Oryzias latipes: one gene and its partner. The main gene of each other region encodes a partner of the protein of the gene in region 2 in a complex. Links are inferred from orthologs where the notes say so. Each region holds a gene or a part of one and is shown on either strand. Other genes may lie near its edges.

Evidence for each region.
Region 1: ralgapa1 (region 2) and ralgapb share a complex: the UniProt entries of both Homo sapiens proteins name them as parts of the heterodimeric RalGAP1 complex. The link is inferred for Oryzias latipes from reciprocal best matches to the Homo sapiens genes RALGAPA1 and RALGAPB.

The regions. Positions count from the first base shown.
Region 1 is NC_019865.2:1,627,676-1,643,577, reverse strand, and holds the start of ralgapb (ral GTPase-activating protein subunit beta), read right to left. Parts: upstream 8,331-15,902; 5' UTR 8,190-8,330; intron 7,473-8,189; 5' UTR 7,429-7,472; coding exon 7,252-7,428; intron 5,748-7,251; coding exon 5,545-5,747; intron 5,051-5,544; coding exon 4,884-5,050; intron 4,794-4,883; coding exon 4,607-4,793; intron 4,468-4,606; coding exon 4,336-4,467; intron 4,104-4,335; coding exon 3,925-4,103; intron 3,404-3,924; coding exon 3,335-3,403; intron 2,760-3,334; coding exon 2,608-2,759; intron 2,441-2,607; coding exon 2,209-2,440; intron 1,622-2,208; coding exon 1,586-1,621; intron 834-1,585; coding exon 632-833; intron 556-631; coding exon 388-555; intron 309-387; coding exon 194-308; intron 14-193; coding exon 1-13. Other genes in the region: vwa1 (von Willebrand factor A domain-containing protein 1), read right to left, coding at 11,414-11,442, 11,719-11,994, 12,156-12,431, 14,217-14,540. UniProt on the Homo sapiens protein: Non-catalytic subunit of the heterodimeric RalGAP1 and RalGAP2 complexes which act as GTPase activators for the Ras-like small GTPases RALA and RALB.
Region 2 is NC_019880.2:19,688,339-19,703,459, reverse strand, and holds part of ralgapa1 (ral GTPase-activating protein subunit alpha-1), read right to left. Parts: intron 12,133-15,121; coding exon 11,994-12,132; intron 11,891-11,993; coding exon 11,682-11,890; intron 11,502-11,681; coding exon 11,178-11,501; intron 10,957-11,177; coding exon 10,777-10,956; intron 10,704-10,776; coding exon 10,632-10,703; intron 10,501-10,631; coding exon 10,352-10,500; intron 10,243-10,351; coding exon 10,116-10,242; intron 8,597-10,115; coding exon 8,450-8,596; intron 8,162-8,449; coding exon 8,071-8,161; intron 7,958-8,070; coding exon 7,793-7,957; intron 5,496-7,792; coding exon 5,349-5,495; intron 1,989-5,348; coding exon 1,785-1,988; intron 1-1,784. UniProt on the Homo sapiens protein: Catalytic subunit of the heterodimeric RalGAP1 complex which acts as a GTPase activator for the Ras-like small GTPases RALA and RALB.

The DNA of each region.
Region 1 (15,902 bases), on a different chromosome or scaffold from region 2:
CCTCCAGCAGAACCTAAAGCAGGAAGAAAATAAACGGCTCATTTATCAAACATATCATTTCCTACTGTGGCTTAAAGACAACGGACACATACAAGTAAAGAGGAAACAACCTAAATGACTTTACACGAGCAATAGTCTACATTTTGATCAAAGCAGAAACAGGCAAACGTCAGATCTTAAAGTAAGAGGCTACCTCAGACTTGATGTTCCCAAAGTGATGTGGGAGAGGCAGCATGGCCAGGAGGATGTTGATGGAGGCTCTCCTCAAGTCAGTAGGATTTACATACATTTTGAATTTGGACAGTTCCCTGAGAAATGCATGAGAGGCGGGTCACAACCCTGAACACCAAATCCAGAGAGGAACCTACGATGGACTCAGAGGCTCACCTGTCTGGCACGATAGTTTCAAGAGCAGCTATGAAATAGGGCACTACCACATTGATGCCCTTCAAATCAGTGCAGAACAAAGACGAAGAGTTGAGAATGATGGAAGCCAGAACTGGTCTGCAGATAAAATCCGATATCTGGAGACCCTGAATCAGGACCATGTAGAACCTGCAGACAGCAATGAGAACTCATGCAACAGCAGTCTCCCAAACTACAGAGACATTTGGCAGAGAACGTCTGCTACCTGGACAGGTAGACGGACAGAATGTCTTCTCCGGTTTTCTTGCTACAGAAGATGCGGCAGAGCGTCCCGCAGGCCTCCGCTCGTCCTGCCTCGTAGCTCTCCGGGAACTCGTTGATGTCAAACAAAGGGTTTGGCACCATGGAGTCGGTCGACATCTGAGAGCCCTTCCTCCTCAGGTCCAACCCCAGCTGAGTGCTTATGGCTGCAGGAGGGGGGAGGACACAGAATGAGAGAACCCTGAATTGCATTGTGGTCATTTGTTTGCATGCATTTACACAGAACAGACAGACTACAATGTGCACAGTAAAAAAAAGTGAATCGATCACATTTCATACATAAAGGCGACCAAAGATTGTGTTTCTATTACAGAATTGCTGCAAATATCCACTTTTAAAAGGAAACTCTGACAAAAGGAATTTGCCGAATGAGTTTCATTTGGTTCTCTGGCAAAAGCTCAGGTGGAAAAAGGTCAAACGTGTCTGCCGTTTGTCCTAAAAGCAAAGTCCCTGTGTCAGCGTCCTCTGAGCTTTCATTAGACGACATCTGCATAAGTCAAAGTACAGACCATTCGCTTCATGCATTGAGGCGCCAAACCAATAAAACCACAACTCAAATGAACGGACAACGCCAACGTAAACTGAAAAACAAATGCTAATAATAAATAAACACATCAAGAAGGATTAGCAGAACTGAAAAGTGAAGACCAGCTCGAATGGGGCAGCATATTCACAGACTGGCAGCATTATGGCGGAGACAAATGGTCAGTTGGTGAAATCCGTTTCATCAGCCGAGTGGCGAGACCGCTGGTTTAAACATGAGAAGGAGTGGGGGGGGGCATGAAAAGATAGTGATGATGGCAATGACCATGAGGAAGTCAACTGAAAAGCAGGGGAGGTTTGTCAAAAACGCAAGATCAGGTGAGAGAAAAAAATTAAATCTGTCATTCCTACTTACAAGATTTATAAGAAAGGAGAATTTGGATAAAAGAGGCTGCAAGATAACAAAAAAATAGTGAAGAGAGAGAAAAATCAAAGCAGATCCCATCATTTAGGACCAATTCATATCAGGCATGAATCGTGTTTTGTCCTCCTCAATACATGACTTTGACTCATTCCAACTTTTACATTAAATCAGACATGGCAGACACGTGCAGGACACCCCAAAGAGAAGCTAACAGAGTCTTTTTCAAATTCAGTCATTAGCCGCTTGGTATTTTTAGACAGACTTTGTGTGACTTAGCCCTTCAGTGTGGTTTTCATATGCATGTAGATGTCGTCCAGTTTAAACAGGTGGCAGATGTGAATGGACAGGAATTATACAGAAAGGCCACTTCTAACCAAGCTGTACACACGCACGCGCGCACATATGCGCACACACACACGTGTGCACACACACACACACACACACAGGAAAGTTTAGGGTAAAAATGGTGAAAAAAGGAAAACAGACTCCAACATGGGCACAGAAAAAACTGACAACCACAAAAATCAAAGACATTTACAAAAACACACAGTAAAAGGACAGCAACACCCCCCCTCCCCCATGCGCTAGAGCATCCCAACACCCCCGACCCTTACCAGTCATGCTGCCGTCTCTGCTCAGGCCGCTGTGCAGCTTACAGTGCACCAAGGCAGCGTCAAAAAGCCACTGACCAAACAGGTTCAGGATGCTGTTGACTTTGGGCCGCGCCGGGGCGGGCAGCGGCCGGGACTCCCAGCTGCTCTGGTTGGGGCTGGAAAGCAGGGTCGGGGAGGAAGATTGATGCTGCTGCTGCTGCTGGGTCGCTTTGGTCGTTTGACTCACACTGCTCTACAGAGGCAGACAGGGGAGAACAGAATGCTAGACACCATCTTTGAACACGACCGTGTTTCAGCCAAACTCCGATCAACTCTTCATTCCCAGCGGTCTTTTCATTCTGACGATACCGATGTTTTTAGCCAAAACCGGCAGCTTCCCTCCAAATCTTCTGGACTTACAGATGAACTCTTGCTTGCAGTTTTGGTGACCGCCATGTGTCGCTGTTTGCGGCTGTGTGGGGGTGTAGTGTTGGCAATGGAAGGGGGCGGGGACACACTCAGTCTGTTAACTGGAGTGGGCGGGGCGCTGTCAGCCCGGGGCCGCGATATACCTACGTACAAAAAAAAAAAGGGTAAAGAACGGTGGGGGGGGGGATTATTTTGTTCAAGCAAAAAATCTGAAGAGACAAAAATGATTTGTCTTCAGGAAGGTCAAGTCAATCAAACACTGTTCCATTCATTCGCATGCAGGACATTTGTTAGAAACAAACCACCGATCATTAGTGTCATCCATCTGGATTTGAACCTGCAGGATTTCTCTGCGTCATTTTGTTGTTGTTTAGTTTGAATCTGGAATTTGTCATTTTGTAGGCAGAAGATTACCCCCAGTTTGTAAAGTTCCAGTGTGTAACATTTAGATGAACCCTTTAAGAAAATTTTAGGGCTTTTGTTTTGTAGAAAAAGAATAAGTCTTTATAGACTTATCATTAAAACAGGGTCAGTTAAAGGGTCAGTTCCTTCTTGGGAGCTAAGACTAAAGACAAAGTGACTCAGAAGAGGGGTGGCTGTGATCACGCCATGGCGATGTGTCAAATATGGCTGCGTCCTACACACTGGACCTTTAATGTCACCACAAACAAACAAACAAACCATGTGCCCACAGGATCTGATTGTTTGATGTCTGTACCATGAGAGAGCTGCAGTGGAAAAAAAGTGAACACTCTGTCGCGAACGTCTCTCTTTTCAACAGAGACACCTACAGTGTGAAGAGAAAATACATACGGGCAGGTTCGCATTTCAGTCACTTTATAAACCAGTAGGGAGATTGTGCTAGATTAAAAATCAGAATAACATCAAGGTGATACAGAGAGAACTTCACTTCCCTAACTATGAATGTGAGCAGTTTGGTAAAGGTGGGCTAAATGACTAAAATCAAATTTCAGGGTTGGAGACCTCTGACGTCCCATCTGGAGTGGTCACAAACTCTAAGACATGTTGAAGAATGCTGCTTTCATGATTTCTGAAATTTTCTTCTGATCCGGTGTGACAAAGAAAGCGGGAAGACTAGTTTGGTTTGGATGGACATGGCTGCTCTGATCAGAACCCATTCCAGCCGCGTTTTCCTTCATTCTTAAAGCCAAATGGCTTTTCCAAACTAAAACGGATGAGAGCAATCCGTATAAAAAATTTTTTTTTAAAAACGCTATAACTTTTACAGTTGGCTTTTCTTAAGCTTTGACTCAAATTCTTCAACAGCTTGACCAAATATCTTCTTACCCAAGAAGGCATCGACAAGGCAGCTGACCCCCCGCATTGCCCTAAAGAAGATCTGGGGGAGCTGCTTTAAACAGGGGTGCAAAACCACTTCGTGGGGGATTCCACTCGGGCTGAGAAACTGCTCCTGAAACTTTGGAGTGGTGCTGACGATGGCGGGGTTGCTCAGGTCCACGGGGTTGCTGGGAAAAAAAGGGAAACACATCTGCAGATTGAATAAAAAGTTGTCGCTAAATTGCAACGGTAAACTTTGTCGAACAGGAACTCAAACAGACGTAGAGCCTGAACTGTGGTCATGCAAGAACTGGTTTGAAAGAAATGTTAGTTCAACTTCCCATAACAGGCTACACAAAAAGTGTGTTATCAAACCACAGTTCCGTTAAAAGGACCAACACACAAAGAGGCTTTCAGGACCTGATCATGTGCAAAAATCGATACCACGTCTGAGCCACACAGTCGTTGTCCATTTCTACGGGAATCAAGTTGGCGTCTTCATCTGGGACCTTGAAAGGTGGGAAGGATGGTCCGTGGGTGAACCGCAGAAGTCTGCAACAAGAGGGTAGCAGGTTCAACACCAGACCTCTGAATCTGCATTCCATTGTCCAGCAGGTGTCACACCGACGTTAGCGGTACTCAGTTCAATAACTAATGTGACTAAATGCCTTAGAAGCTTGAATCTTCTGACCTGGACGTCAGAGCACAGGCCACCCTGCTCCACTGCTCAACAACAGGAGGGTGGTGTCTCCAGTTCGCCAGCATTTCCTTCGCCGTCTTCCAGTACGGCGGCGTGGGAAAGCAGCGAGCACAAGCGAGTAACCACACTTCAAACAACACAGCCATCAACTTTTCTGCAAGTTTCTCTGCCACGCCCACTGAAGGAAGAAACAAAGGAGACCGTCGTTCGTCACCGCCGCCAAGAACCATGACGATCGAGTAAGAAACGACTTCAAGTGGAGATTTACCTCCAACCGTGGGCGGTGCCAGCAGTGTGTCATTGATACGAAGCAGAAAAAGCAACAACACCTCCCAGGTTTCTCTCACCATAGAAACGGACTCTCGGGCCAGCTTCTGGACCGCAGTCAGAACCTGCTGGCAAAGTCTGATGTGGTTCAGACTGTGTTGTTCAGGCCTGAAACAGTTCAATTGGAAACAATGAATGGTCCAAAGAATTCCTGACCATTTTTAAGTATTTAAAAGGCAGCTGATGGATGCTGCATCGCCACATGGCTTTGATTTTGATGTAAAGTTCTAAGGTGATGTCACAGAAAAACCTAATTTACAGAAAAATAGGAAGGAAAAACAGACAGAACTTTGAAAATCCTTCAAAAACATGTCCCTAAATCCTTCATTTCCTTCACCTGTACATGTTAAGACAAAAAAATAATTGCTCCATATAACCTGTAATTCTTCAAGTGCACAGACGTCTGATCCAAGTATTTACTGTTCATCATTGTGAAAAGCTAAGCTAGCACAGAACAATTTGACCCGTTTATGAACCAATAACTCCCAATAATAATTTAACCGTCTGCCGTCATTACTTTACTGACCAACAGAAGAGAAGTCACACAACATTAGAGCCAAAATCATTCAGAAGGAGGAGGAAAAGGAAAGCTGGTCACATACCTTGGAACGAAGACATTGTACAGATGTTTCAGAATGGTCTGCACATACATGTTGGGCTCCTTCACCACAGGCTGTGGCATGGAGTCTCTGGGTGACACCAGAGCCATCATCCAGTCAGTGTACACATCCACGCAAAGCTTGACAGTGTCTCCTTCTAATGGGAGGGTCAGGCCATAGCACAGAACCTCCATGGTCCATTTCACCTGAAAACCAGTTTTTCAGGATTCAACAGACTTCCATGGAGCAACTTTTTAATTTAAAATAACATGTATGAGGGAAAAAAAACATGATTAATTTAAGGTATGGGTTTAACAGCTTACTGTTTCAGGATGATCACAGCAAAGTCTTCCATTTTGCATGATGACAGATAATAGAACTTAGTAACTTAACCCTGGCTGTTTGCTTGATTCTCTTTTGATTCCAAAATGGCATGCAAGGTTTTACGTAAGTGATGAATGAAAACTATAGCATCACCTACACGTCTGTGTATTTGATGGACAAAGAACAGACGGAAAAATGAACCTCAGATGCAGCAAGTGAGTGTTTATCACCTACAAAAAAGCTTCAATCACAAGCCTGAAACTCTGAAACTGCTCAGTTCTGCCCCCAACTCTGCATTTTTCAGAAATGTTAACCAGTTGTTGGGTTTGTTGTTGTTTTTTTCTTTTCGAAAGAGCATCCATTTCAAAGAGGGCGTGGCCACCTGACAGATTCCAAGAAGCTCTGGGACGGTGCAGCCGGGAGGCTCAACCATTAAGCATGCAACATTTCATTGTTTTATTAGGTTCATGCCATATCAGAAGGTTTAAGTCTGTCCAGAGCTTTGGACATATTGCATTGTTTTAAGGCTAGTCAACCTCAGTTGCACACAAACTGTTTTAAATTGAATGGAAGAGACATTTTACGTGTAATTCTGAAATGTAAAATGTATATCACGATTCCCCTTTCGCTGTCGGACTGTTTTGCAGATTTTTTGTATGGAATTTTGCATGCTTTTTGTTGTCTTTTCTTTAAAAGGTTAATGGTGTTTTTCATCCCTGTGGATCGTTGTCCACCTCATCCGTGCTGTGTCTCCTGTACAGAATCCAATCACCTCAATAACATAAATCTTCGATCACAATCAGATCTTTGTTGTTATTCTATAATCCTGGACCTATTTTTCTATGAAAGTTTAAACTTTGAGAGATTAAACAAGACAGAAACGAGTGAAAATATCCATGTCTGTTCCAGAAAAGTCTATGAAGTGTGTAGTGAGGAGCTTTCCTGGCTTTAACATCTGTTTTTAGAATGCATCTCCCAGGGGAAACAACCTTTCAGGGGAAACAACCTTTAGGAAAGAGTAGCTTTTTTTAAAACCTCTGACAGTTCACAACTTATATGTGTACCATTTAAAGCAAATGAATGAACCAAAACTAAAAAAATAACTAACAATTTTATTATCTAAAGCCACTACATCCCCACTAGAATCAAAGCGGTAGCTGGATCCCATACCAGCTTTCATAGAGTAAAAGCAGGATATACTGTCATATATATACACCTTTCTAAACTGAAGGAGGGTAATTAAAAAAACGTGCAAATTCTACACAGGAAGGGGGCAGGATTTGATATTAGAACCTTCTTTTTAAAAGCACACAGTCTTAACGACCAGCACATGATCTTGAACAAGCAGCAGTTATGATGGAGCACCATTATTAGAAAGGTTCTCACCTCTTTGTCCGTCTTGAGGATGTTCTCCGTGGCCACAGGACTGACCGCTGTGCCCAGAGGCTTCACCACGGCGTTTGCCACTTCGGTGCCGACATTGTTTGGGTAGGTGTGCAGCACGCTTATGTGGCCCTGATCACTCTGCACCACCAGCTGCAGCGAGCGCCACTCCGAGTACATCCTGCTGATTTCTGATGCTCTCTACATGCAGCTCCTGCCTCCACCTGCAGACACACAAATGTGGAGGTCAGGGAAAACTGTACTTAGGTCATTCACATGCCGTTGTCAAAGTATTAATCACATAAAAAAATTGTAATACAATTATGCAGACTCTCATTGAAATTATTGTCTGTGTGATAGCACGTCAAATAGTCAATCTGAACTGGATATCATGTATGGACCTGACACAGCTAAGGATTTCTCTTCCCTGTAAACAGGGAAGCATCAGTAAACAAAAACACCCCAGGGCTTTGTGTTCTTGGGCAAGTTTCCATGTTAGCGAGGAAAAGCAGCCCCGTTCTTTCATAGCACAGCCTGGCAGTGTAGTCTGAAAACTTAACTCAAGTTTTAGTTATTCTAATGTTTACGGGACGCGTCTCGGTTCGGTCAGAAAGGGAGGATTCCCAACCAGGAAGCGGATCCTACTGAGAAGCCCGTTCAAAACATCCGTCCTAACTTGCCGAATAAACCAAAATTAATTGACTGCTGAGTCGATATCACCTCTCTCTGTTAGGAACCGAAAATTATCATCGGTAAAATATGAACATATACTCCCACAGGTCAAATATCACATAGAAGGAGAAAGTTGCTCCGATTTTCCCAGCTAGCTTAGCTAGCATTAGCTTCGTCGCTGACATTAGCTCGCTATGCTTGCTAACTAACCAAGTTTTCAAAGACAACAAGGTTAGTTTGCTGGTTAAATTACAGGCTTTTGTCTTTACCTGAACCTGCAGAGAACGTTTCCATAACACGACTCCGAATGTCCCGGTGTGAGCTCCCTCTTCCCGGTCTAAACCCCAACAGCCTCCATCTTCACAATGTCAGGCTTTGGAGATCTAGGCTTTTGACGGGGCTAACAGGAGACGGCTTCCGGTGCGAGGCGCCCCTAGCGTTCACCGAGGGGATATACGCAGGCGCAGACTGTGGGTGTGGCATGTCGAAGTTTGAAACCAAAAAAAATCTGTAATTCTTCATTCAAATTTTTACATATCCCTCTACAGCAGTTAAAGTCAAAATTCACCTTAAGACAACGTCATTAAAAAAAAGCAAAGTTTAATCCCGGTTCTCTTTTTTTTCTTTCTGTCATGTTTGTGCCAACAAGAATATTTGCATACACAGTCATGCACATGCGCAGTAAATAACATTTTTCCTCATCTTAAAGCCGGGGAGTGAAAGTCTGCCACTGCCACCACCCCCTGCCTTCATTGTTTGGTTCTGTGTTTGGATCTGTCAGTGAGGTCCCATCCGAACCCAATGCTGTGACCGCATCTATATTAGTAGCTTTTCTGGAAAAGGCTTGGTTGTCATGGTGCCCTGCAGTGTTTTGGTTATGTGGGCAAAGATAGTGTTCGGCACTCAGGAGCCTTGCACCTGACCTCCACTCCAAGAAGAGAGCCCGATTTTATTTACAACTTCTTCTACAATAGATTAAGCATGATCAGTTCACATGCTCATAGTGCACGTGTAATCTGACAGCTTTTAGCTGGTGTTGTCAATAAAAAGCCTAAATCACCAGTCAGGAAAGCAGCATAAATCATAAGCAAAGAGATACATTTTAGCATTCTCATACCTTAAAAAGTCACTGTGCAACCCATGTTCTGGATAATTTTAATTATCATTTTTCTCCTAAGTTTCTTTCAGTTCCAAGAAAAGTTAACTTCTATCATTTCGAGTTTCACGGCAATCAGAGCAGTTTTATTCTGTCTCTACGGAACAAAATACTAAAAAAAAAAAAAGTCTGACAGAATTTTCTTTGTCCACACAATTTACATCTTGTTCATGTCATTTAATGCGAACACTAACACAGCTACTGTGTAACAGGGTCGATGGGTAATAAACAAGTTAAAGTTTTTGATTTGTGTCTTCCCAAGTGTGAAGAGTAAAACCTTGCAGTTCATCTTAATATGAGTGTTGAAAATCTAAATTTTGCTTGTCATTTTTTTGGGCTGTGTAATCCATGAATAGCATGTATGTGCTATTCATGGATTACACATGGATTACACAAACCTCATACTCATCAGAGGTCACATTTTTCTGCACCAGTGTCCTGTGCAGTATTATCCTTAAGAATAATTTGTTAATGAATGATGCTAATTCTGCTTATTTAGATGTAATAGCTTAACTGTTGCTAATTTATAGTCTTGTTATTTTAACATTTGTTTTTAGACACAACTGAAAAGTGCGTAACCTGATGACAGACCACAACAAGTGTGTTTTTCTGAGCAAAATCATCATAAAGCATTATCTATTCTAGTTTAAGGAACAGATTTTATCATATGCTAATGCGTATTAATTATCCTAAGTTTGATACGTCTCTGTGCGAATGCATAGCTGCTGATTGTTTTGTTTGTATTCTTACTTTGATTGCTTGAAATAAACCATGTCAAATCAAATCGAATCAAATCGAATCGAATGATCTGTGCCACTAAAATCAACTCCAGAGTTTCTAATGGTCTTTTTTTTTTTACCTGAGATGTTTCACACCACATGACTTAGCTTGTCTATGATATTTTAAAGTATGTAAATTTTAATTTTTGCACATCTGAATATTTAATTTCTTTGCATCTTGATGCCTAAACCCCAGGGTTGTTTTAACAACTAAATTTCCCTACGGATTATTAAAGTTCATCTTATCTCAAGCAAATCCTATACTTTTCATTGTATACTTGACCTTTTTCATGCAAAAACAAAAAGAGCATCACACAAAAGATTGTGTTAAAATTTAATATACTGCATATAAGCCACAATTCTCTAAATGGATCCTTTGTGGCCCTACAATGGACATCCAGAAAGAACCGCACACTCCCCGACAGTAGCTAGGACAGGCTCCAGCACCCCCGTGACCCCAGAAAGGACCAAGAGGGCGTAGAAAACGAATGCATGCTGGGGTTATTGATTCAGGGCAGAAAACCTTTTTTTAAAGTTCTTCAATTTCAAAATAATTCACACCCAGCTGAGCAAAACAGCTGTTTTTTAATTTTTAAAAATAAAAAGTTGACCCCTATGTGGTAATAACATTTTTTTAAAAGTCACTTACTGACACTGATACATACTGTAATATTTATTTACAGCTTATACATATACACATATAGTGGTAGTTCTGAATGGAGGTCAAGAAACATCCTCAGGATGAAGCAAAAGGTCAGCAGTGGGCCACAACACCTTCTTACAGTAGGGGGCAGCAAAGTCAGGCTCTACATCCAGTAAACATTTCAGTAAAGACTCCAAATTTAGAATTGTCCTGCCTATAACTTTTAGATAAATAAATATGAATAGAACTTTTTTTAATAGAAATCAACAAATCAGTCACACACATCTGTGTTGTATGAGAAGACATCCTCTCTCAATTCAAAACAGTTGGATCCTCTGTGTTCCAAAGAGAAAAAAAAAACATTTTCTAAGCCCTGGATTTAGTTTGCTGCTCTGCGCGGCGCACACAAGCCCTAAGAATTAAAAGATGTGGTAAGAGGCGAAGCATTTCAGCATGTACAGAATGCCCTGTAAATGCATTTCAGATGTTTCTGTGTGCGTTAAAAGACGTTGCGCATGTGGTGTGCACATGGTGCAAAGTTTTTTTTTCCAAAACAAATCCATGTAAAACATTAACTTTCCCAGGATGCACTGCAGCGATTCTGCAAAACAGACCCAGAAACTCCCTTAAGCTTGCATTTCTAACATTAAGCATTTCTTGCATACTAAAGGAAAAAAACAGAAATGTAAAAAAAAAGTAACGTTTTCTGCTTTGCAGGTTGTAGCAGTCGACTTTTGGCCAGACTGTCACAGTCTCTGGCTTCCACATGAGAGCTCGGGGAGCCAAACCGCTTCTCCTGCTGAATGTCCACAGAAGGAAGAGGAACGCAACGGATTCATGGATGGAAGTCAGCATTCTTCCTTTCTCCCCCTCCTCCCTCCATGTTTGGAAAGGTGCACCTCCCATTCTGCTCTGCTAGGACTGGTAACCATACGACAGCGACTCTGAGGGGGGAAAAGGGAGACTGCTGAGACTTTTGCATGCAAGTGTCGGGCAAAAACAAAGCTTTAAAAACACGTTTTAGATGTTTTCATATGCCGACATGTTGACAGATTTGGTCTAATTTGAAAAACTTTAACCAGAAAAACTGACAATTGCGCTTTAAAGGAGTAAATACAATGACACATGTTGTCGAATCAGAAATCTATAGGATAGAATGACAATGATTGACAGTCGCAGACCACATTCATTTATTCGTGCCATTAAACGACTCGGCTCACCTGACGGAAACTGTGCCGTGCAGCACAGTCCATCTCCACGTGCGCTTTGGTAAATGGGCGACACACACACCCTGGAGGACGGGGGGAGGTGCGTGAGCCTTGTTGACCGGGAGTCAGGTGGCAAATAGAGGGAGGAGTGCCGGCCAGGTACAGAGCTCTGCTGTCCCTCCCAGGTGAGCCAGTAACCCCTCAAGCCCTGTGCGCTGGCCTTCCAGTCCACCTGCACCGAATCACTTCCCACAGTGGTCAGCTGGAGGTCCGCCAGGGCCGGAGTAACTGTAGAAGGAGACCGAGCGCTATCAGTCGGAGCATGCTTCGAAGATCCAGAAGAGACGGGCCGTCTGTGGCCCCCTTACAGCTCAGAGCAACTTCTCCCTGCCTGTGTTTGATCAGCGTCAGGTAAACAGACCACGGGCCATTGAAGTCCCATTGCTCACCTTCTTGAGTACACATTTTGACAGACATGGCCTTCTCCTTTCCTGAGGCGTGCCGAGCGCTGACCGTCACCAGGTACGTGGTGTCAGCCTGGAGGCCCCTCAGCAGAGTGGAGTTCTGCCTGGGGTCCACTCTGACGGTCTGCAGCTTCCCTCCAGGCAGGGCAGAGTATTCGATCAGGTAACTTGTGACCGTGTCCGGCTGAAGAGGACCCCAACTGACCCGAACGCTGGTCTGCCCCGACTCGGAGACCGTCACCACAGCTGGGCTCAGCACCTCTGAGTGGAGGGAGACACAGTTCCTTCAGCATCTTCAATTTCCAAACTGAAGATATTCAGAGAAAAACCAGCTTCACATCGCCCTGTCTTGTGAAAGACCAGCTCCAATGAAAATGGTGTTTTTATCAAGTTCTAGTAGCATTTTTATGACTACGGTGAACATTTATGAAGAAAATTAAGCTTAAAATTGCATTTCTGAGTACTTCTTTAATCAAATCGTGATGAATCAAGAGCAGATGAAAAAAATCATTTAAAGGAATCTCCAAGTTGTCACATAAAAATTGCAATGGGCGGAGCCTCAAGCTCCTTGCTCTGCTCCATTCTGATGCATCCTCTTACATACAAATAGATCCATGAACGTCTTTGTTTTCCTTGTCTGAGCTGGAATCTGGATTCAAACTGTACGGCTGGATAGCTACGATATTGCTCGCCATTTTTGTTGCACCGCTAATATTAGGTTGATTGTGTGAGGCAGTGTTTTTCAACCTTTTTTGAGCCACGGCACACTTTAACCTTGACAAAAATCCCGCGGCACACCAGCATCCAAAAAAATAGATAAATAAAAAAAAAGAAAAAGCTCAGTCTGTATTGATCTACAGCCGCTCTGCAATCTCACATGCATTTTTGTGATAAATGTTGCAGAAAAAGCTGGAAGCTGCAGCTGTTTTTTCTAAAAGATGTATTAAAAATTAAGTCAAAAGATTCAAAAACTGTTTGATGTGTGTTCGTTGTTTTAAGACGTTAAGAGGAGAGACTCATTGTGCGCTAAAACAGTCATTTTACTGCATCATGGGAGATGTAGTGCCCATAATCCGCCGACCGCGGAAAGACCAGCGTCTTTGAGCTTCATGGTTTTGTTCACTTGTTCCAGTCTGATACCAGATTCTGTGGAAAGCTACACCGCTAAAGACGAGCTTTAGCTGGTATTTTTGTTAGAACAGAGAGACTTTTTTGCGCTAAATCGAAACAAGGAAGTGAATACTTTAACCACTTCTGATTGGTCAGACTGATGACATGTGATTAAGCCTTCAAGAATGATTGGTGGAGACAGTTAAAGGGGCGAGACTTTTCCTTACACAGTTATAGCTGCAGCTAAATCGCGGTATCCCGTTATTGTTATCAAAATGTCTTTAATAGAATCATATAAACACAAAGAAAAAAGTATTTTATGATATTTCATATTCTTTTTTTTTTTTTTTTTTTTTTTTTAACTTGTCCTGTCCAACAGCTAGGCAAACAGATGAGAGCTGAGGGCCTCTTGTGTTGGACATATTTTATTTTAACAAGAATATTTCATATTCTTAACTTCTCAGTGTTTTATCAGGGCCTGTTTGGATGAACAAAGAGCTGATTTCCTGGAGATGGTAATTGCTTTTAGATCAGTTAATGAGGGCAATTTCTCACGGCACACTTGACCATCTCCCACGGCACACTGGTGTGCCGCGGCACACTGGTTGAAAAACACTGGTGTGAGGGGCTGTAAGCTAGCGGGAGAGAGTATAAACAAAGGGATGGTAGGACATCAGTAGAGGTTTACTTGCGCCCCGACAGTCCCGGCCACAACTCAGAAGAGTATTTTCTGCTGCTCTGCAGAAACTAGGTCCTGGAAAACGACACAGGTTTTCTGATTTTGGCTAAAAACGGCATAATCATCATGAAAACACTGAGAAAATATCAGAAGGTGATCGGAGTGGAACCTTAAGTTACGGAACTCTGGATTTATTTATGTTTTTTAATGGACCATAAAAGTTTTTCCATATTTTACTGACAAAAAAATGAAGCAACCTGGCTTTGTGGTGAAGGTGACAGAGAGCGAGTTGAAGTCTTGCTCGTTGGACTTCGAGGTCAGGGTGGCGACGTACGTGGTTTCCGGCTTCAGGTCCCTCAAACGCACACTGTTGGAGCCTGCGGGCTGGGTGACTCTTTGGTACTGACTACCACCAATACTCGGACTAGTTCCGGGTCCACCTCCGCTGCCACCTCCAGACGGAACCTGACCGACCCGGATTTCATAGTATCCACTCAGACCAGACAGAACCGGGCGCCACTGCAGAGTGGCAGAATCCGTGGAAATATCCCGGACTTGGATGCGCTCGGCGCGGAGAATCTCTGTAGGAAACAGTGTAAAGAAACCAAAATAATGTTAATGTGCGCTCTTAACTTCTATTATAAGAAAAACACAAGACTAAATATTAGAAAAAAAGATGTTTGAGGGAGTGGTAAAGTCCCAGACAGACAAACTCAGCTTCTAAATAAACTTTGCACTCAACTTGAAATCTACAGAAACGCCTGAAAAAATGAACTCCAAAATGGATTTAATGAATGATTCAGTCGGTTACCAAGAATTCATGCAGTTCTCCTGACTTAAAGATGCAGATCAGGTCTTTCTAACTGCTTATGTGTCCTGTTTGATTATTACAGCAGTTACCTAATCCAGCGTGAGACGTCTCCCCAAGTCTAGATCTATAAATACATATGTGGATCATGTCTGACATGGCGTTGGAGGATGAATCGAGCAACGTTTAATAACTAATCCACGAATAGATCAGCCTATCTCGTGGCGACTGTCAAACACGCCAGACGTCCTCGGTATCCGAGCAGCTCGCTTCCACCCGCTGTCTTCAGGAGCGGGAGGATCAGGGGGACATAGGCCGGTCTCGGCACAGGCCACCGGTGCCTCTGCAGCTGTTTCAATGCAACACATTTCTCATGAGTCAATCGGCTAGTCAGAGTGAAGGCTTGATGCTTCCTGTTTACAACAACACTCGATTTAAGGAGGAGGGGATCGATTTGGTGTTGAGAGTAAAAATCCTGTCTCTGAATCAAAAACTTTCCGTTTCTACATGGAATATTTAATGGGCTGCTTCTTGGACCGAGCCTAATCCAAAGCACAGTAAACAGCGGTCAACATCCCAGCTACTGCAACAACAAAACAGCTTCAGCATCAAACACACAATAAACTTTAACGACGCGGAGAAGAAAAATGTCCCAGCAACACTTTCTCTGAAGCTGTTAAGCTACAGACCTTATGAAGAACTGCATTCAATGATTGACGGCACTCTTTTTAACAAATATATCAGTAATAATATGTGCACAATACTGTATTAATGCTAAGGAGACATGTTATGGGCCACAGGTGAGCTCTGTGGCGCCTCTGGTTCTCTTCAACTGCATCAGAGACCATTTGATGTACCGGGTCTTCAAGCAAGTCCCTGGAGTGTTTGTTTTCACCTGACTGATCTAGAATATGCTGACGATACCATTTTATTCAGTACACTCCACTGTCAGCTAAGAGACACTCTGGAAAAGTACGTGAAGAGGCAGAGAAACTTGGCCAGAAATCAGATCACTTCACAATAATGAAAAAAACAATATAGAATAACACAATTAAAGCAGTTATAAGCCAAATTCTGGCCCACTTTTACTTATTTATCAATTGGTCTTTTTTTTAAGAGAAATTTCAAGTCTTTA
Region 2 (15,121 bases):
AGGGGCTACTTCAAGAGGGAACTTCAGTCCAGCAGCAAGATGATGAGTTTCAGCCAAAAATAATAATTCCAAACCAGTTAAAAACAGCCAAAAGGGGAGAGAGACTTGCTGGAGTTGTGTTGAAAAGTGTTTGTTTCCACAGTTGTTGTATCTGTGGTGTCCTCTGTGCGCACTTGCGACGCAATCCTCACCTGGCGTGGTCGTCTTTCGTCCAAAGTAGCCCAGGACGTGTGAGTAGAGATCCTTTAGCGATGCGTCACCCATGGCAGCCCGACCCTGCCTCTGTGGCGATGAGCCCTGGGATGACCCCTGACCTCTAGGTCGAGGTTTGGAGGACAGAGCATGGACAACAGTCTTATAGACGCCACCGAGAAGAGCCCCCTGGTGGTGCCGTGAGGTAGTGCTTCCGGGCTCCTGGGAGCGTGAGCGGGAGACTCGAGATCGCAAGGCAGAACGGCCCAAACGTCCACGCACTCCAGAGGAGACGGCTGCGGAACCTGAACTACCTAGAACATCTGACTGGACATCATAGCTCAGGCTACATCCAGTGTGTGATCCAGAATGCTGCCTGCCCTTCTCCCCTGCAGTTCCAAGCCTGCTCTCCACAGCCCAGCTGCCGTCTGAAGCAGCCCCGGAGGACAGGTTGTCATGCACTCCTGATTTATGTCCACCTCCAGCTACAGAGCTAAACTTACCTGAAGCCCCTGCTCCCTGCTTTCCTGCAGCTCCAGACCCTGTCCTTTCTCCAGCTGAGTGACTGTAGGTGTGGAAGTGACTGAGTCGTCGTAGCCTGGCTTTCCAGTGAGCCTCCTTGTTTTCAAGTGGGTTGTGAAACTGGACTGATTCAGTTGAGGGACGGAAACTGACATGAACATTTCCAGGATTGTGCTTCTTTGTGCTGCTGCGGGATATCTTTACTTTGGTGGGGTCTGCGTTTTGGGCAGTTGACTCGGCGGTGGATTCATCAGCAATTGCGTCTTGTCTAATGAAACTGGACTTGTCATTTGCTTCAACTTCTTTATCGTGTGGTTTTTCTTGGCCAATTTGACTGTGTGTGTCAAATTTCTCATTTAATTCTCCAACTTCCCTTTTGTTCAAACTCGTTTTTTCAAAGCCAGAGGTGGCTTTAGCACTAGGTGACTGACACTGCAACTCCAGAAACTCATAGATACTACGCTGCACTCCCTCATTCTCCTCTGTGGAATCCCCCCTGCTATGTCTTACTGACTTACTTACCTCTCTGCCCTCCCTCAACACCTGCTTTGCTTCTCGTGGTTGTCCTGCATACTCCAGCTGTGATCTAGCCACCCCTGTTTGCACCAGAGGAGATGATGCAACCACGTTTTCTAAAGCAGCAGCAGGACTATTCGTCTCTCCAGCTTCGTCCTTTTTCTCACCTCCTTTTTGAATGAGGTAATCCCTAATTGCGGAGAATAAATCCTCCTCCTCCACCTCAGCACCAGTTTCACCATCTTCTGCATCAACTTCCTTTTCACAGGAAAAGTTGAAGGCAGAGTTCCAGTCGCATAAGAAATCGGAACTAGAACTGCGGCTCTGAGAACCAACCTGGAGCCGGGGTTGGTCATAAATACCAGCATCATCTTGCGCCTCTGGAGGCGAGGAAACAACACCATTAGGGAAGGTAAAGGGGGTGGGAGAAGAAGAGGTAAAGGGTGGTGAGATAGACCGAGTTGTGTGGTTGTTGGTTGCAAGTACGGAAGTAGCTGTGGAGCTGCCGTGGGAAAAATCAGGGATCAAAACGGCATCCCTTTGCGAGTCTTCACCTTTGACCCGCTCTGCGATGAAGGGCTCCATGATGTCAGAGGCACTACTGCTACGTGCGAGGGAAGATGGGGCTGGAGGATCTAGGTCACAAGCCCCTCCTTGGAAGACCTCAGAGCAGGAAGTGGGAGGGGCTTCATCACTCTGAGACGAATGGCGAATTCTAGAGATACGGGACGTCAGGGTGATTGGCGGATCCTCAAGGTCTGGTGATTACAAGAACATAAAGGATGCAATCATTTGTTTTGAATGTGCAAATTTCTCAGTGCAAAATGTCACTTTAGAGAGAGAGAGAGAGAGAAGAGAGGTCGCAGAGGTCAGCAATCAACAAAATAAATACAATTCTAGTTTACGTTCTGTTCTGCTTAAAAGAAATCTCTTTTTGCCTACACGTGACCTTTTTTAAAAAAATATTTAAAAGAATGAATTTATACTTACGAAATGAGCAGGAAAATTTTGCCACACTTTCATGACTATCTGTGGTTTATTTTTTAAGCTCTGAAAATGTTATTTCTTCCTTAATAAATATGCATTTTTAAAGTAGCTACAGTATTAGTGCTGCATAGATTTTCAAATCTTTGTTTTTCAGGGAAAAAGTTGATCCCCTACAGCATTTTTTAAACCTCAATAACTATAAAGCAGTGTTTTTCAACCGGTGTGTTGCGGCACACTAGTGTGCCGTGGGAGATGACCCATTCACTGATCTAGAAACATTTACCATCTCCAGCATATCAGCTGTGTTCATCCAAACATAACTGATAAAACACTGAGTAGTTAGGAATATGAAAGATCATAAAATACTTTTTTCTGTTTATTTGATTCTATTAAAGACAATTTGATAAAAATGAGGGTATCGCGATTTAGCTGCAGCTTCAGCTCTGTTTTCAGAAAAGTCCCGCCCCTTCAACTGTCTCCTCCAATCATTCTTGGAGGCTTAATCACACGTCATCAGTCTGACCAATCAGAAGTGGTTAGAGTCTTCACTTCCTTGTTCTGATTCTGTTCATAAAGTCTCTCAGTTCCTACAAAAATATCAGCTAAAGCTCGTCTTTAGCGGTGGAGCCTTCCACAGAATCCGGTGTCAGACCGTGGAACAAGTGAACAAAACAATGAAGCTCAAAAAAGCGAGTCTGTCTGCAATCTGTGGCAGTTTTGCAATACATCTCCCATGATGCATTGGGTTAAAGTGACAGCATATCTGCGCTACAATGAGTCTTTCCTGTTAAATGTCTTGAAACCACAACGAACACACATCAAACAGTTTTTAAATCTTCTTGATGAAATCAGAGGTCAGCAGTTTAGTTCCTCCAAGTCATCTTTCTAACTGAAACCCTTTTCTAATAACGTCTGGATTATTTTATATGTTAAATTTAAGAAGAAGTAACAACAACATTTAAGAAACAGGATTAAGGTGAAGTGGCCAACAGACACAATTAGACTAAATTGAAACAATTTCATAATCTAAAAAGAAATAAAACATTTTGTTAAAGTTTTCAAATACTTCATTTTTTAATAAGACAAGAAAAAACTAATAAAACTTAAACATTTTCACTTTTTGTGTAGCTACAGAAAACAGAAATATTGTGATCATATAATTGCTCAAAAATTACAGTTGCCTTTCCACCAACATTGAAATAAATGTTTAAAAAATAAATCACTATTTAGAAAGAATCTATTTGTTTTTTTGTGAGGTTACATAAAATTGCATGTTAATAAACTGGAGGAAAAAATAATTACCAGGGTAAGATTTCTAATAATTTAGTTGAAAATTATTACTGAAAACTAACTTAACTTTTATTACATCTTTTAGAAAAAACAGCTGCAACTTCCAGCTTTTTCTGCCACAATTATCACAAAAATGCACGTGAGATCATGGAGGGACTGTACATCAATACAGACTATGAGTTTGTTCTTTTTTAATTATTGAATGCTGGTGTGCCGCGGGATTTTTGTCAAGGATAAAGTGTACCTTGGCTCAAAAAAGGTTGAAAATCACTGCTGTAAAGTATAAAAGTTTTGATTACACTAGATCAGGGGGGTTAAACTCATTTTCACTGAGGACCAGCATAGTGGTTGTCCTTAAAGTCCCTTTAACCCTTGTGCTATCTTAGATGACCCCACCCTTACATTGACGTGTTCTCCCTACCATGACAAAGGTGGATGAAGGTGGAAAGATTTCATGTAATCCATGGACACCAGTGAAGATCACAAATCATTGAAGAAAAAAGGTTCAGAGCACTGTCTAGTGGGTCTAGATGACCCAACTCCCAACGTTAAAGTGCCTAGGATAGCACAAGGGTTAATTAATGACAACCACTATGCTTAGACATGTAACTAGACATGTAACTAAATGTAATGAAAAATAAATGTAACTACTCCTTAATGTTAAATAACTCATTATTTATTTATTATAACTTTTTAAAGTGACAATTTTATAGAAAAAAATATGTTTGCTTGTTACTATAGGATAAATCCCTTTAAATTTGATTCTGCCAGGTTAGGTTATATGGACAGTGTTTAAGTTCTAATGTATAGTTGCTCAATCCCATATTTCAAATCAGGTTACCCCTAGATATGAATAAATACACACCAATTTTTTTATTTTATTTTAAGAGAATAAAAACTTTTATGCTCTCGCGGGCCACATACAATGACATGGAGGGCCACATTTGGCCCCCGGGCCTTGAGTTTGACACAAGTGTTCAAGTGAAACAAGACTCAGTTGTGAACATTTGTTATTTTTATTTCCATTTATTCCTATAATATGATGCTAAGTATGAAATGTGTATCCACTGGTTTAGAGAAGCTATTAGGAGATATTAGGCAAAACTTGTCCCTACAACTCATATGTTTGGTAATTTAATCCTAAATCTATTAAATTTTTGCAATACAACCATTTTAAAAAAGGTAATATTTTTACAAATAGGAGATGTTTTTAAACTTCTCTCGGTAAAAGCAAACAGATGTGAAAGATTTGCTCTATGGTGGTCTCTGTGAAAAGAAGCATTATAAATAAATAATAATGGAAGAAAGGATTTTGACAAAGATGACCAGATTACTCATGAATGTGTTTTTTCACATTTCTCTGTTAAAGTTCATGTGAGATTCCTAATGTGCCACGTAAGTGTGTTATTATGTACATGAGCATTATAATTAATTGAACTCGTAACTTTCTTCCTGCCTTCAAATAAAGTTTAATTAAAAAAGATAACATACTTGTGAGATCATATTTTTGACAAACCATTTATGTTTTAGCTTTTACAACTTTTTTCTAAATCAAACTTCACCAGTATTTAGGTCATTTTTAAAACCAGACCTTCCTCTTTTTTTTTCTTTAAACATAAACTACAACCGAATCCCTATTGATAAAATGATGTGTTATTATCTGAACATGTCAAGTAAGAAATTGGTGCAGTTTTAGTAACATTTTATAGTTCAAATCCAATTAAAAAAAAAGAAATCACAGAACAGCAACTTCAGCTAGAACAATGAAAACGGCTTCATCAGTCAAGAAAAACAGCGACACAAGTTGACATTTTCAGGTTCCAGGCAGACAGAAAGTGTACCTGCCAGATGGTCAGCAAGGGGGGGTAGAAAAGGGTGGTGTTGGTGAAGGAGGACAGGAAGAGGCGGAGCCAGAGCAGGAGCACTCTTAGCACTGCGGATAAAGGCTGAAGAGATCAGAGAGTCGCCTGTAGAGCAGCTACGCAGGGCTGAGGAATTAGGAAGAGAAGAAGAGAAATAGCGAAGAACAGGATAGAAAGAAAGCCAAAAGCAAAAGAAAGAAGTAACTTGAAGTGAGTAGGAAGGTGAGGAGGCATGAGAAAGACGACTGAAGATGCAGTGACCACGAAAACAAGGAAAGCAGATCAACTTTAGCAAAAAAAACAAAAAAATAGAAGAAAAATGTGTGAGAAAATAAAATGTGTTGTTTGTTTTGCTAGAAAACTAAACCAAAAGAATGTACCGTAATTAAGTAAAATGAGAGGCCTCCTGCACAAAAATACAAAAAACAGATGCAAAAAACAAAAAACAAATGCTCCGCAGTGCCATCCCATTCCTAACCCATAGAGTTCTGTATGATGTAGGTTGACCTTTTGCAGCTATTACAGCTTCAACTTTTCTGGGAATGTTTTTATAGGAATTTTTGACCATTCTTCCAAAAGCACACTAGTGAGGTCACACCGTGATGTTGGTGGAGAAGGCCCAACTCTCAGTCTCCACTTTACTTCATCCCATCAGGTTCAGGTCAGGACTCTGTGCAAACTTCCTCCACACACGACTGTCATCCATGTCTTTATAGTTCTTCCTTTGGTCACTTGTGCACAGTCATGTTGGAAGAGGAAGGGGCCCGCTCCAAACTATTACCACAATGTTGGGAGCTTGGAATTGTCCAAAATGTTTTGGTATCTTCTAGCATTCAGAGTTCCTTTCACTGGAACTAAGCCCAAGTACTAAAAAACAACCCCACACCATAATTCCTGCTCTACCAAATTTCACACTCGCCACAATGCAGTCCGACATGTACCGTTCTCATGGTAACCTCCAACCCCAGACTTATCCATCAGATTGCCAGATGGAAAAGTGTGATTTATCACTCCAGAGAAGGTGCCTACACTGCTCTAGAGTCCTGTGGCGTGCTTTACATCACAGCATCCGATGTTCTGCATTGGACTTGGTGATGTGTGGCTTGGATGTGGCTTGGAAACCCAATGAGGCTTATTTATTAAACTAAAACAGAATTAAACTTTTAAGAATGATCTTGGTCCCCTGACAGAAAACTAAAAAAAAAACTGATTATAACAGCAATGTCCTGCCACATTTTTTGTTACCATGCGAGAACAGCTGATCGTATAACCCCGGGGGTCGGGAACCTTTTTGGCCGAGAGAGCCATCAACAACACATAATTTTAAATGTAATTTCGAGAGAGCCATACAATAAGTTTAAAACTAAAAATACAAGTGAATGTGGGCATTTTATGTAATTTCAATACTTTTAAAGTCTGTAGATTCTTTTAATAACATTGTTATTTCTGGCACCATGTTGAACACAAAACTTTCTAAGTTGCAAATGAAAATATTAAATATTTGCTTTTAAATTATTTTCTTTTTTTGCTTTCACATTTTCTTTTTGCTGTAGAGGTGCCTGTCCTGAGAATAAACTGGACATGTCCAGGTGTACCCTGCTTTGGATAAAGGACATGGTGGGTTAAGAAAATGGATGGAAAATAATCAAAACAGATAAGCTAACTCTGAGCTAAAGTAGGTTAACTGGTAGCCGACCATAGTGATCGTCAAACGGTCGGCTGCCAGTTCGTCTACTTTAGCTCAGAGTTAGCTTGGCTATTTTTGTTTCATTATCCTCTTTTTACACCAACTGAGTAGAGTGGTATGTCTGCAGCCACTTTCTGGGCAGTTTTCCTCCACTGCTGGGTATGAAACTATCCACTGATGCGTTGTTTACACGATCAGCTGTTGACGCCTGCCGCTGACAAAATGTGGCTTGTGATTGCTGTATTATAATCTGTTTTATTCCGTTTTCAACAGAGCTATGGTTACAAGAGAATTTTCCCATTATGGGATCAATAACTTTCTAAAAAGTTCAATTTTTTAATGTTTAATAAAGAAAACTTAATACACATGCATATTGAGGTTCTTGGACCTTTGTGCATTGGAACAAAGATCCTATGGTAAAATGTTAACTTCACTTTTTTTTTGAAAAAAGGGAAGTTTGCTGTGCAATCTGCAGCACTTGATCAATCCAACACTTACAGACTCATCAATCTAACTTCTTTCCAAAAGAATGTGAGGTTCTGATTAAATGTTTCAAATTCTGTCACTAGATTTCCTAAGTGCACAACATGCTGAAATGTAAAAAGAAATAAACTGAGTCTAAAACGTTTTAATAAAATGAGTCATTTTAACAGTACTAGACATTGTAAAATGAGCCAGAGTGTAACTCATAATAGAGTTCATTGGTTTCCAAGTATGTAAGACACACATTACTGACCTACAGTCTTTTGGCGAACAATACTCCTCGCTTTTTCAATGCCCGGAGAACCAGCAGTGGTGGCACTTCGCTGCCTCATTGCTGCTGCCTGACCTGACTGGTCTCTGCTCCAGCCTTTGGAAAAGGAACGGTCCACTACTTGCCGCAGGCCCTCTGAACCGATAGCTGGCGAACGAAAAGAAGGCAGGTCAGGCTTACGATCATAATGCACGGGAATATTTTCAGACACCGTGTGTTGTTAAATGTCTGTCTGTACAGATCTCTAGTGAGGAGCGAACCTTTGCCTTTGTGTTTCTTCTGTTTCTGTTCGCTGAGTTTGTCCAGGGGCAGCTCATTCAGATCAACACTGTACAAATTTCTTGCCAAGACCTAAAAATCAAGATAAACATTGCTTTAACATTGCCATAGTGCATTTTTCTATTCATTTAGTCTCCATTTCTGACTCTACAAACCTTTTTTGATCAAAGGTTCAATTCAAAAACATTGATTGGGTTTTTCCCAGAATTTACCAGTATCCATTCAAACATTTTGATGGTTATAGGGGAAACTCCCTTGTGTTTTCATAATAAGTTTAAATCATGTCTCTGGAAATGACTGACGCAACACTGATATAGATTCCAATTAAAGGTCAAATCTAAAAAGATGGGAGTATAGGACCTTTGTGAGAGTTTCCATGGTGAGTGACCACTCAGTTACCAGCTCCTCCCAGAAGGTCAGAGAGGAGAGCACAGACAGGAGGTCGTCCCACAGCTCTCTGCTTATGTAGACATTCAGGTTTGCCTTAATCCAAGCTACTATCAGTGTCTAAAAAGAAAAAAAGAAAAAGAAAAACACACAAATAAGACTATAAATTAGAAAAAATTCCATTAAAACTAGCGGCATGACAGTGATTACGATGAGGGCTGTAAAATACATTTTCATTATGAACCACTCACATATTCTCACTCATACTAACATTCTCGCTCTCACATACATATATACTCACTATCACATACATACAGTGGAGCAAAAAAGCATTTAGTCAGCCACCAATTGTCCCAAGTTCTCCAACTTAAAAAGATTTCATTCAGTTCTGACAGACAAAATAAGAAAAACAATTCAGTAATACATCACATTGTCTGATTTTTAAAGAATTTATTTGTAATTTATGGTCAAAAATCTTTGGAGGGAGTTGAAAGTCTGTGTTGTCCAACGACAGCCCCAAAACATCACTGCTGTTGAGCATCTGAGCACACTGTGAACTGGACTTAGCATTCCTGCACACCAACACCAAGATGCTACTGACTTAACATCTCGTGGACACTGAATGTCTTATGTTTCTTGCTGTGTTTCTTTTTGTACTCATGCTGCACTTTGGTTATTTATTTAACTATTGGGTATTTATTTTGGTGAATTGAACTGAGAGGCTGTTGTTGATGCTCCAAATGAATTTTCGTTGTTTCACTGACAATGACAGAATAAAATCTTGAATCTTGAATCTTTTGCTCTAGAGGAGATCTGGATGGAGGAATGGGCCAAAATACCAGCAACAGTTTCTGAAAACCTTGTAAAGACTTACAGAATACGTTTGACTGCTATCATTGGCAATAAAGGGTATAAAACTAAGTATTGAATTGAACTTTTGTTATTGACCAAATACTTATTTTCCACTATAGCTTATTGATAAATTCTTTAAAAATAAGATTTTCAGGATTCTCATTTTGTTTCTCATAGTTGAAGTATACCGACACTGAAAATTACAGGCCTCTCTGATCTTTTTAAGTGGGAGAATTTGCACAATTGGGGGCTGACTAAATACTTTTTTGCCACACCGTATATACTCGCTCTCACATACAGTACAGACCAAAAGTTTGGACACACCTTCTCATTAAAAGAGTTTTCTTTATTTTCATGACTATGAAAATTGTACATTCACACTGAAGGCATCAAAACTATGAATTAACACATGTGGAATTATATACATAACAAAAAAGTATAAAACAAATGAAAATGTCATATTCTAGGTTCTTCATAGTAGCCACCTTTTGATTTGTTCACTGCATTGCACACTCTTGTTTATGTGTAGTTCTCCAATATAAAACCATATAAACCAGAATTTTCTAATGAACACTAAAAATTAGTTGCAAATATTTATCTGATTTTTTTTTATGGACATGTAAACAAATTGATGGTTTTGTTTTTTTCAGCAAATGGGTGTTTAAGGTCGAAAAACCTTTCAAGAAACTCGTAAGATGCTTAAATACCTAAAATGGTCTCCTTCTTATTTCCTGCAAAGGAGAGAAAGCTAAAATGTTGCCTTAGTGATATGCTGGCAGTGATGTACCTGGAAGACCGGTCCAGCAAGTCTGCCTGAAAGCGTGTTGTTAATCTTTTTGCCCAGAGGCATGATGGACGGTGGTCTTTTCATCACAGATTCTGTCACCCTCAGCAGAACTAGTAAGATCTGCTCCCTATGAAGAGATAAACCATTTTAGCTAGTTAGCATTTGTGACTGAACCTTTGTAGTATTTAGAATTATGAGAAAACAAGAAGTCCTTCAGTACGTTGGAGTATTCTTACCAAGTTTTCTGGTCCATTGTTTCATGCATGACAAGGCTGCGGTAGATGTTCAGGACTCGCTTGCACATGTCCACATGCTCCTCTAAAAGGATCTTGATGTCATTGGCAGGTTCCAGGAGGAAAACGTTGGAGGAGTGGGTGATAAAAACCTGCAGAATGAGCATGAGCTTTTAATGAAAACAACTAAGCAAACAGTTTTTCTTCATTTTTTTTATTTACAAATCCAACGAATGTGGATGAGAAGATTGGGGGAATTCTTGGGAGAAAAAAAAATCACTACCTGGAGTGTAGTCTGAATGCCAGCATGAACACTGTACTCAAGTAATTCTCTGTCAATATCTTTGTCCATTCCCTAAAAAACAAAACACAAGTGTTTAACAGAAACGTTTCATTGAGATACATGAATGATTTCAGGAGACTTTTACCTCATCTTCTTTTTCTCCCGGCTGTGAGCCAGTCTCTAGATTACAAGGGGCAGGTACGGGGTATGGGCCTTCTTCGGATTCTTTCATGAACACAGGCTTGTCCTCCATGGAGATCCATTCTTGATAAACACGAACCACTTTTCGCATTGCAGCTGCTTCACACATGGGGAGGAGAAAAGCCTATACAGGTGAAAGCAAAGCAGGCCTAGTTTATACGCTGAAAAAAAGCTTTTGATGATGGAAACTCTCAAGTGTTCAAATAAGAGTCAGAAAAAGGAAAACAAAGGGACAGCTGCTCTCACAACCATTAGGAAACACTGAAAAGTAATTTACCATCTCCCAGCTGTTAGTAGCTCTAAAGATACTTGAACAGGTATGAAAAATAACTATTTATTTCTCACCTGTCTAAAGATTTCTGTGATGAAGTTGACATTAGTTCTGCAGCTGGTCAGTACTCTCCGAACAACTTCCATGTCTGTCAGCTGCTCTTCGTCCATTGAGCACAGTGAGGAGGAGCTGGGCTCTCGTTCGGTCAGTGTTGAGGTGTTGGAGTGGCTCTGTTCGGGTTCTCCTGGAGCATCGAGACCGCCACAGATCCCCATGCTCGCTCCTGCTGGCCCTGAGGAGCCTCCGCTGGCTTCCAGGTGACTGTCGCAACGCAAGCCTCCCCCAACGCTGTCATCAGAGTTGCCCGCGGAGCGTGCAGCCATTCCAGCTGCTGCTCTCTAGACAAAGTGGAACGGTAAAAAACAGTTAATAAAAAATAAGAGGCACAAAAGTATGAACTATTTTGCAGTTTTTTCTTATTGAAATGTCTACAGAATGTTTTAATTTGAAAAAAATAAAAGATGGATGCAGTAGTGAAACAAAGATACATCACTTAATAGTACAATGTCTGTAATTACCTGTATGTTCTTTGGGACACTTTCCCCCTCTGTTCCTGGGATGTGTGCTTGTGTGTTGGGTCGTGGTTCCAACCAAAAGGAAACTAGCCAGCGAATAAAGATGACTCGGGCCTGAAGGAAACTCTCCTTGTTACAGTAGAGCATTTCCCCACCATCCTGCTCTCTGCGCACCAAACTGTAGGATGGCTTGGGACGCATTGGAGGCACATCTGCAAGGGACAAAAGTAAAGCACTCTCGTTCAGTGAATGTACTCCAGTATATGTGAAATTTTTACTCTTCTTTCTCCACCCTGATTATGACCACTGACTGACCCAACATGGGATTGTAAAGGCTCGTTTCCATGGCGAAGTTGGGGAATATGTGAGGAAGATAAAACTTCCTGAAGTGATCAAAGAGGAAGCTGAAGCCACGTTCATGGTTCTCTTTGCACCGCCACTCCAGAGATTTGGCCTGTTCAAAGCACAGATGCAAACAAACACAGAGAAACAAAGAACTTAACTTTTGATACAAAGAGGCTATTTTGCACTCAAACAAGATTAAGCAAAGAGGAGCCCCATTGTTTCAGAAGAGAGTGGTGTCAGTGTGAGGACACCAACAGTAAGCAAAATGAGACTGAAAACAGGGAACACAATGTGTATTTAAGGTGGTAAATAATTCAATTCACTTCAATTTTCTGTACTTCAAACACAAATTAAAATAAACACAAGAGTTTAAAAAAGACAGATAAAACAAGACAGTGTGCTTGAAAAGGAGTGGACTTAAGAGAAATCTTGTATGATCCCACCCCTTTTTTACAGCACCTGATCATCTGCGTATTTCTATTTACAGTTTTGTACATGTTATACATTCACATTACATTCTGCATTGCACCTATGCAGATGTGACATTTTTGTTTTTATTAATCATTACTTGCCTTGTACAGTTCCATCAGTGACATCTTGTAGGTTTTTTTGAATGCATGTAAACTTTTGGGTTTGTTTTAAACCTTCGTCCAATCCATTCCATAAATCCACACCATAAACTGATAAACACATTTTCTTTTTTGAAGTGCGAATGCACTGCTTTTTGAAGCTTAGCTGATTTCTTAAAATGTAACTCCCATCTCTTTCCTTGAACATTTGTTGCATGTTTATTGGAAGCAAGTTATTTCTGGCTTTAAACATGAGTGCTGTTTTAAGTTTTACTAGTTCCCAAAATTTCAATAAACCCAACTTTAGAAATAGTGCATTTGTATGAGTCCCATAATCCACATCATGAACTATTCGTATAGCCTTTTTGTAAGATATACAAACACTGTAGATTTGTTTTACGAGTATTTTCCTAATCTTCTACACTGTATGCTAAATGTGGTAGTATTATCAATGAATATATTAGTAGACGTGCTCTGTGAGTGAGTGTATGATGCATTTTTCCCAACACTGCTATGTTTTTAACAAGTTTAGCTCTGACTTGATTTATATGTGGCTTCAAGCTTATTTGGTCGTCCATAATTACTCCAAGGAACTTGATTTCAGTGGCTCTTTCCATATCATGATTATCAAAAGCAACTTATATTTCTAAATTTGCAGGAATGTGGCGATTTCCAAAAGTCATGAATTTAGTTTTGTTCACATTGAGTGACAGTTTATTTTTGTCGAAACATTGTTTTAGTTTCCCTAATTCTGTGTTTACTACTTTTACAACTTCCCGGAGGTTCTCCCCTCTACAGACTATACTTGTGTCGTCGGCATATAAAAAGTATTTGAGTGTATCTGACACCATGTATACATCCTTAATGTAAAGGATGAACAGTGTTTGGCCTAATACTGACCCGTGTGGTACTCCACAGCTTAAATTTAGCAGGGATGATTTTTAATCTTCCAGTTGGACAAACTGTTGCCGGTTTTTAGTGCAACTGTTCAACCAATTTAGTGCCAGTCCTTGTATTCCATATCTTTCCAGTATTTCTAAAATGTTATGATCAATAGTGTCAAAAGCCTTTTTCAGATCGACGAACACTTCTACTGTGAGCTCTTTATTATCCATGCCATTTATAATTTCTTCAGTTAGTTGTGTAATCACCATGGATGTTGATCTGTTTTTTCTGAAACCATATTGGTCGTCGGACATGAGTTTATGTTTCTCAACAAAATTTTCCAACCTTGTGAGGAATACTTTAAGTATTTTTGAGAATTTGCAGAGTAAAGACACTGCTCTGTAGTTTGTTAGTTGATGTTTGTCCCCTGATGTGTGTAATGTATTTACTTTAGCTATTTTCATTTTTTGTGGAAATGTTCCTGTTTGGAAGGATAAATTGCAAATGTAGGTTAGCGGGTCAAAAATGGAATCAATTACCTTTTTTATCACCATCACATTATTCCGTTACAGTCGGTAAATCTTTTGTTTTTGAATTCTTAGACGATTTTTAGAATTTCTTTTGCTTTCACGGGTTTCAAATAGATTGAGTTTGGATTTCTCTTTATGCAGTGCTCAACAGTTTCCATTTCTGATTTATTAGTACAGTTTATTTCAGCAAACTTTGGCCCTATTTTTACAAAACATTCATTGAACTCCTTAGTCATATCCTGAATTTTGTTGCATATCTCATTTTTACCAGCTACAGAGTCTGGACCATTTGTTTTCTCTGTGTCTTTTCTAATGACACTGTTCAATACTTTCCACATTTCTTTAGTATTTGATTTATTTTTTTCTAACATTTCTGTGTAATGGTCTTTTTTGCATGTTCTCATGATACTGGTTCATTTGTTTTTATATTTTTGTATCGCAGCTCAGCTTCAACAGTTCTGTTTTTTAAGAATTGTTTGTATAAACTGTTTGTTTTTTTTTGCACGCGTTTCTCAGTCCAGTTGTCATCCATGGGATTTTATTATACTGTTTTCTATTACAGAATTTTATAAGTGGGTATTTTTTGTCGTATATTGTTGTAAACCCCTGCATAACTTTTTACAAGCTGATTTAATATTGTTGCTTTCATACAGGTTTTTCCAAGTGTCTGCTTTTAGTTCTGATTTAAATGCATTTTTTGATTCCTCTGTTAGCTCACTTCTGTAAACTACTTGCTTCTTCTATACAAAACACATTCATATTTTGCAAATAGTGGAAGGTGGTCACTGATGTCGGTCATCAGTAATCCACTTTTTATTCTGTTTTCTAGGCGGTTTGTAAAAAAAATATTATCCATCAAGGTTGCGCTGTTATTCTGTTGGGTTTGTTGATTAATGGATGGAAGCTTGAACTGTACATTGTATGAGTAAAATCTTCTGTCGTGGTGTGATTGTTTGGGTTCAACAAAGAAATATGACATTTTTGGAGATATTAGCAAACATGTTTTCAATAGCACTTGTGAAAGTTTCCATGTCTGATGCAGGGGCTCAATACACACAACTGACAATGATGTTACTCTGTTTCTCCATACTAATCTCTACAGATTCAATGAGGT